Linked DNA regions of Saccharomyces cerevisiae S288C. Changing the gene in region 1 together with any one later gene gives a genetic interaction. Each region holds a gene or a part of one and is shown on either strand. Other genes may lie near its edges.

Region 1 (4,448 bases):
ATCGGAAATAGCCAAAGTAATGTTCTTCTTTTTCGAGGAAGCCTTTGGTAAGTTTAAATCCAAGATAGCTTTCAAACTCTCAGAGACTAAACCTTCTGATATGTCGTTAGCATTTTCAAGGGCTTCAGCAGCACCTTTGAATGGCGCGAAAGATACAAGTTCGATTAACTTTGTAAAAGCACCAAAATCATTGATTTGCTCTTGAACTTCTTTTAATCTTGAACCAATGTCATCTTGTTGCAACTTAACCTTGAAAACTGCGTAACCAGTAGGTTCTTCAAACAGTAGGTATTCAATAGGAGCCATCTTTCACTAAATACTGTTCTGCACGCTTCTTCTCCTAGAAATATACCTTCCAAAACACTTTTAATAACTACTTAAAAAACTGTAGACACTACGCAATTGCACAAAATTTTTCATTTCCCATCTCATCACTCAAAAAAATTTCACTTTGAAAAAAAAAAAAAAAGAAAATTTTCACATCGCATTCTACGAGCGTATATATGCCGGGTGATATAAAAAAGTTACACAACTGTAATTCACCACATTGTCATCATATGCTAAATTATACCGTAACAGCACATATTAATGTATTATATTGTTTTTTTCTGAGGCTCCTCTTACACTAGTATACAGTATTATCTTCTATAGATTTTTTATTTGTACTTGCAATGTACTCTGCTTTAATATTTTTCATATCCAGATTATGCCATGTCATCATGCTCATCTCCACCTTCTCTTTCTTCTTCATCTTCACCTTGATCATCAATGGTTATAACAGTATCTGGGTTATCGTTACTGGTGTATTTTCTGGCGATTCTTGAACTTTTTCCTATTTTTTGGGCTTCTTCTTTTGCTCTTGCTTGAACATTCTCTAGTTCACTTTTAAAGCTCTTACGTACAGATCTATTGGTAAAAACGTCCCATAGTTTCAAAACTTTATTGACACCACCAATGACCATGGTACCCGCTACCTCGATGTCTGGAGCGAATGACGATGTCAATACATTTCCGACATCGAAATCACGAGACAGAACCATGCTTGGGCCCTTAGTGTTCGTAGCATCATCCAAGGGGAATTTCCATAATTTGACAGTCTTTTCACCCATGGCCCCTGTACTCATCATACCAGGGATGAATTTGTTTGAACATAATGTGGAGATACCAGCATCGTGTGCCTTCAATGTCCAAACTGGTTTACGGTTTTCATTGTTTCTAATATCGAAAGAATACACATTACCAGAATCAGTACCACATAATATTATATTTTCACTGGCAAATGTAACAGTTTCTATTTCCTCACCTGCCATGGCAGACCAGTATTTACTCATTTGACTTTCGTCAGAAATTCTAACATCTGTTAAAGCTACTCGAGAATCATAACCACCGGTCAAAAGAATGGAACCATTCAACATGTGCCATTCAGATGATGAAACATTTTTGTTTGAATGAATGGAAGCTAAGGAGCGGGCTGCGTTACCTGAGTTCAAATCCCATAGTTTTACGGTATGATCTGCAGAGGTGGATGCTAAAACGGAACGGAAATATTTGTTGTGTGCCATGGATAAAACAGCATCGGTATGATGAGTAGTAATGTGTCCAGTCTTAGACTTCTTCTTCTTCTTTTTGCTTTTCAAAGACACCATTGAATTATCAAGAGGTTCACCCAGAATCATATCGGGAAAGGCCTTGTCAACACAGTCCAAGTTCCAAATTTCAATTTGTGGATCAAACGTACCAATGGCAGCATAATTGGCTGCTTCTTCGGAATTGGATCCAACCTTGTAGTCAAGCCACTCAACACATAGTGGAAAAGCAGGCAACATTAAATCATGGTGAACGTAAAGTGCAGGGTCACGAACCAATCCACGAGCAACATCTGGGTCAGCTTCATCACCTTCTTCAACGGGAATATCGCTACTGTGGAACCCAGCACCGTCATCGTAAACGTAGATATCCAAATACGAAACGTCATCTTCTGTTCTCGCAGCAAGAACTAAATTATCGGATGGGTAAACTTGTAACTCCTGCTTCTCCTCTTGACTATCCTCTTGATTAGGCAATGAAATATATGGATCTTCACCTTTTTCACCCTCATGGAATTTAACATCGCTATCATTACTTAAACCCGGGAACATGGAAACGTCTTTACCACCCTCATTATCTGCAATTTCCTCATCGTCATATTCTTCCAGGTTATATTCTTTCAAATCATCATCTATATCCAACTGATCCTTCAACTTATTAGAACTACCTGTTGCGGCGTCATCTTCAACACCTGATTCGCCTTCTGCTTCTTCCAAAGTAGCTTTAGCATCATCCAAATTCAACTGTGCTAATTGGTTAATTCTTTCCACTTCCTCATCATCCAGAACATACTTTTCAGGAAATTCCGAGGAAAACCCTCTTGGAACCCAATTAGTAGCAGAAATCATTAGTTATTTTGTTTTTTTTATTCGTCTTCTAAGTTTCCAAATAAGGAAGGCGTAATAGACTCAACTGAGGGTACACTTGCTATCGTTTACAAATTAAAACTCTTTGCTTCTTTCAAACTCATCTCAGCTCATCGAGACAAATTTTTCACTTCTTTTTTTCGAGGGCGAGAAAATTTATTACCCGACTGGATATAATATATATAGAATAATACATATGATCAACTCAAGGTAGGGCCTATGGAAAAGTTTTACAACGGACAAGGCAATTAAATTGAATTGCACGATTCTCTAATTTTTTATTCTTGCAGATTTGTTTCATGATAAATTCGCCAGTTAGAGTTCTTATTATGGGTGGGTAAGAATTCAGTTAACGTTTAAAATTCTCAATATTAATCGCAAAGTGGAAAGCAAAGCAAAGTCTCACTAGAAATTGCAGGCGGACTATGTATAATTACGTAATAGTAGTTCTTGCAACAGAGGATCCTTTCGACTCTTTTGAAAGGATACTGTCATAAAACAATAGGATAAAATAATTTCAGCCGTTGCTCATGATAAAAGTAATTCACTATAATTGAAGATGATATGTGTTGCACGCTTTTTAGAGAATGATCTGTACAATAGCTCTGGTTGTCATAGAGCTTCGGTAGTAAACGTATTTATAGAATGTCAGAAGAGGATAAAGCGAAAAAATTAGAGAATTTATTGAAGTTATTACAGTTGAATAATGACGATACTTCAAAATTCACTCAAGAACAGAAAAAAGCTATGAAAGACCACAAATTCTGGAGAACGCAACCGGTCAAAGATTTCGATGAAAAGGTGGTGGAAGAAGGCCCCATTGATAAGCCAAAGACACCGGAAGATATATCTGACAAGCCACTACCTTTATTGTCTAGCTTCGAATGGTGTAGTATTGATGTGGACAACAAAAAACAGCTTGAAGATGTTTTCGTTCTACTAAATGAAAACTACGTGGAAGACCGCGATGCAGGCTTCAGATTTAACTATACCAAAGAATTCTTCAATTGGGCTTTAAAGAGTCCAGGTTGGAAGAAGGATTGGCATATTGGTGTTCGCGTTAAAGAAACACAGAAATTAGTTGCCTTTATCTCAGCCATACCAGTAACACTTGGTGTTAGAGGTAAACAAGTGCCTAGTGTAGAAATCAATTTCTTGTGCGTTCACAAACAGCTAAGATCGAAGAGATTAACACCTGTTCTAATTAAAGAAATTACGAGACGAGTGAACAAATGTGACATCTGGCATGCATTGTACACGGCAGGTATTGTTTTGCCAGCACCTGTGAGTACGTGTCGTTATACTCATCGTCCCTTGAATTGGAAGAAACTTTATGAAGTAGATTTCACAGGGTTACCAGATGGGCACACAGAGGAGGATATGATTGCTGAGAATGCGTTACCGGCCAAAACAAAGACAGCGGGATTGAGAAAATTAAAGAAGGAAGATATTGACCAAGTTTTTGAGTTGTTCAAAAGATATCAATCCAGGTTCGAACTAATTCAAATTTTCACAAAAGAAGAATTCGAACATAATTTCATTGGTGAAGAATCGTTACCATTGGATAAACAAGTAATTTTCTCATATGTAGTCGAACAGCCCGATGGAAAAATTACAGACTTCTTCTCATTTTACTCATTGCCATTCACAATCCTAAATAACACAAAATATAAGGACCTAGGCATCGGGTACTTGTATTATTATGCCACCGATGCAGATTTCCAATTCAAAGACAGGTTTGATCCAAAAGCTACTAAGGCTTTGAAAACAAGATTGTGTGAATTGATTTATGACGCTTGTATTTTGGCCAAAAACGCTAATATGGATGTTTTTAACGCGTTGACTTCGCAAGATAATACATTGTTCTTGGATGATTTGAAGTTCGGGCCCGGTGACGGGTTCTTGAACTTCTATTTATTTAATTATAGAGCAAAGCCGATTACCGGTGGCTTGAATCCCGACAATAGTAACGACATTAAAAGGCGTAGCAATGTC
Region 2 (3,303 bases), on another chromosome or scaffold:
CGGGAACTAAACCCAGGTACATGTATAAAACAATCAGCCAGCACATAGTATCGAAGTTATGAGGGTCCTTGGCTTGGTAATTTTCCAATATCGTTATACACAAAAGCACGTCTTTCAATTCAGGATTAGTTTTCTTGCACTTGTCCTTGACTATTTCTAATAAGAATGTAGAACAGGAGGAATAATCCGTTACCGATTTTTTTTCCAGGGTCCCCTTAAACTTGTTATAGTTATTGATTGAGTCGCTTCCAATAAGTCCCAATTCTAGAATATTACAATGATGAATCAAATCCTTATCCTCTGGATCGTACTTAGACATAATGCTCTTAAGCATATCTATGTTAATGTGGCCGCTGTAATGATTCAAATCGATTGAACAACAAGGTTTGTTATGGTACTTTGATAAATAGTACGACAAAGATGATTCCGAAACCGAATCGGTGTACATTATATCAAGTTTCAAGCGCGCCAATCGAGTATTCCTTGAGTCTCCCAAATTTTCATCAATCCATTGTTTGACTTCGTCTTTAGATTTAGAAAGTTTGTAGGCAGCATCAATCAAGTTTGTGATCAATTCATAATCATCAAGGCCCTTTTCAATAAGTTTTGAACAAACTTCAAAAAGTTTTTGTGGAGAATTCAATAACTTGGTATGCTTCAAGATAAAGTTTTTCAAATACAAGTTTACTGAAGTATCAAAATTGGCAAAGGTAATCGCAACAATCTCTTCCGAGATTTCTCTAGATTGAGGGAATAGTTCATCCAACACCAAACAATAAACTATAATCTCTTGAACATTTTGAAATGGTTTCAAGTCTAACAAAGACTGGCGCGCTAGCCTGGAGAGCAAAATTTTCTTGGGATCTGAAAGAGTGTTTTCCTGAAACCTTGATACGGCTAAAATCGAGATTGCATTCCAAAAATAATATGCTCTTTTAGGCAGGTTTCCACTGTCACTGTATTTAGCTAGCTGTAGAGATGCTTTGCTCATTTGGTTATAATTGGAATCTTCCAATGCTTTCATAAACCAGTGATAAGACAATTCGTAGCTAGGGAATTTGAAATTTCCTCTTTCATACACGTGCAATGCTTCGTCGTATTTCCCTAACTCTACGAAGAAGTTGTGCAAAAACTCCAAGGAACGCGTGTCGCCCGTAATCGTTGTCCCTTTCAGCCCATATGGTTCTTCTAGCAGTTTATTGTAATCGAACTTACCAGGTGACTGCTTGAATTTAACATAGGTTTCCAAAATCTTGAAGTACAACGCATTGGGAAATTGTTTTTGCAATTGCCCCAGTTTTGCATAGCATTGTTTGAAGTTGGACCTGCTTACTAGTCCTAATATCTCCTCCTGTATCTTGTCGGACATGCTTCGATGCGATGATTGCTGTACCGAGCTCGTTATGTATCGTTGCTTCGCCAATGAATTCTGTTGCAGCTGACATTTATTATTTATTTTCCTAAAGCCCTCGGCGGTCCGTGGACAGTGATTTTCGTTAAAGGTGACTGAAAAATTTTAGATGCTCATCGCGATGGTTCTCAAAGAATCTATCACCTAAAAAGATACAGAAATTGCTATAATATTTACGAGTTAGAAGGTTACTTAGCCTTATTTTGCTTCACGTCTTTCTTTATACATTCGTCAGGTGTTGAAAGAGTTCAACCAAAGATGTCTTCTATCTACAAAGCCCTCGCAGGAAAGAGCAAAGATAATAAATCTGAAAAGAAGCAAGGCAATGTCAAGCAATTTATGAACAAGCAAAGAACTCTTCTGATTTCGAGTAGAGGTGTTAACTATAGACATCGTCATTTAATTCAAGACTTAAGCGGATTATTGCCTCATTCCAGAAAGGAGCCAAAATTGGATACTAAAAAGGATCTTCAACAGTTGAACGAAATCGCTGAGTTGTACAATTGTAATAATGTTCTATTCTTTGAGGCCAGAAAACACCAAGATTTGTATCTATGGTTATCCAAGCCGCCAAATGGGCCAACTATAAAATTTTACATTCAAAACTTGCATACTATGGATGAGTTGAATTTTACAGGTAACTGTTTAAAGGGTTCTCGTCCGGTATTGTCGTTTGATCAACGTTTCGAATCCTCCCCACACTACCAATTAATTAAGGAGTTGCTAGTGCATAATTTTGGTGTACCACCAAATGCTAGAAAATCTAAGCCATTTATTGATCACGTCATGTCCTTCAGTATTGTAGATGATAAAATATGGGTGAGGACATATGAGATCTCACACAGTACTAAGAACAAAGAAGAATATGAAGATGGCGAAGAAGACATATCATTAGTGGAAATTGGCCCTAGGTTTGTTATGACTGTCATTTTGATCCTAGAAGGTTCATTTGGTGGTCCAAAGATCTATGAAAATAAACAATATGTTTCGCCAAACGTCGTAAGAGCTCAAATTAAACAACAAGCTGCTGAGGAGGCAAAGTCTAGAGCTGAAGCTGCTGTGGAAAGAAAAATTAAGAGAAGAGAGAATGTTCTTGCCGCCGATCCTTTATCAAACGATGCCTTGTTTAAATAATAAGCATAATACTATCAGAGAGTTTTACATAACATTGTATATTAAAAAGATATAACAAGAAAAGAGTGGATGTAGCAACTGTCTAGTTATAGACCTCTTTTTAATAATTTAATGTTTAAATCTTGAATATCGAAAGCTGTATATATAAAGAATATTTATTGTATGTACAAAAGATCTTCAACCGCGCAGCAATCAAGCTATATTTACGCATCTTGCTTTTCCGAATGTTTCTTTAAGTAGTTTTCAATGAATTTTTCCTCGTCTTTGTTGTCTGTTTTGATGTCGACTGTTTTTGGCTTTGCGCTTTTAAAAGGATTTGGAACAACCAATAAACCTAGCAGTCCTAATGTCCCAATGGCTAGTTGGTGTGGAGGGATAGCTTTCCCCATGAAATGATAAGCAGCACCCATTGTCGTAGTTATAAATTATTATTTGAAGTCACCTGGCCTTATTCAATGCTAACGAGTTATGTGCTCTATGGGGGGACTTGCTCCTAAAAAGCTCTTTTTTTTCCCTTTGCATCGAGAAGCGGACTCTGACCAATCACCATCGAGATCGCGATGAAGTATTTTCTATACCATATTTAGATATAAACCAAAATTAATGCTGGTAAGATGCAGTATAATGGGTTTTACTTATTTATGATTCATTCTATAAGCGCTTAATAAGTTTTGTAATCGCGTCACGATCTCAGTACACTCTTGACCTGAAACTGCTTCAAAGTAGTACCTTTTGATATCATCTTGCCCCTCTCTTCT

The links.
Region 2: mutations in PWP1 (region 1) and BRX1 together harm fitness more than expected from each alone (negative genetic interaction), as found in Saccharomyces cerevisiae (2 studies listed by BioGRID).

The regions. Positions count from the first base shown.
Region 1 is NC_001144.5:541,955-546,402, reverse strand, and holds PWP1 (rRNA-processing protein PWP1), read right to left. Parts: upstream 2,436-4,448; coding exon 705-2,435; downstream 1-704. Other genes in the region: snoRNP complex protein NOP56, read right to left, coding at 1-306; glycylpeptide N-tetradecanoyltransferase NMT1, read left to right, coding at 3,099-4,448.
Region 2 is NC_001147.6:185,090-188,392, reverse strand, and holds BRX1 (ribosome biogenesis protein BRX1), read left to right. Parts: upstream 1-1,669; coding exon 1,670-2,545; downstream 2,546-3,303. Other genes in the region: MDM20 (Mdm20p), read right to left, coding at 1-1,369; ATP19 (F1F0 ATP synthase subunit k), read right to left, coding at 2,749-2,955; AVO1 (Avo1p), read right to left, coding at 3,181-3,303. UniProt on the Saccharomyces cerevisiae protein: Required for biogenesis of the 60S ribosomal subunit.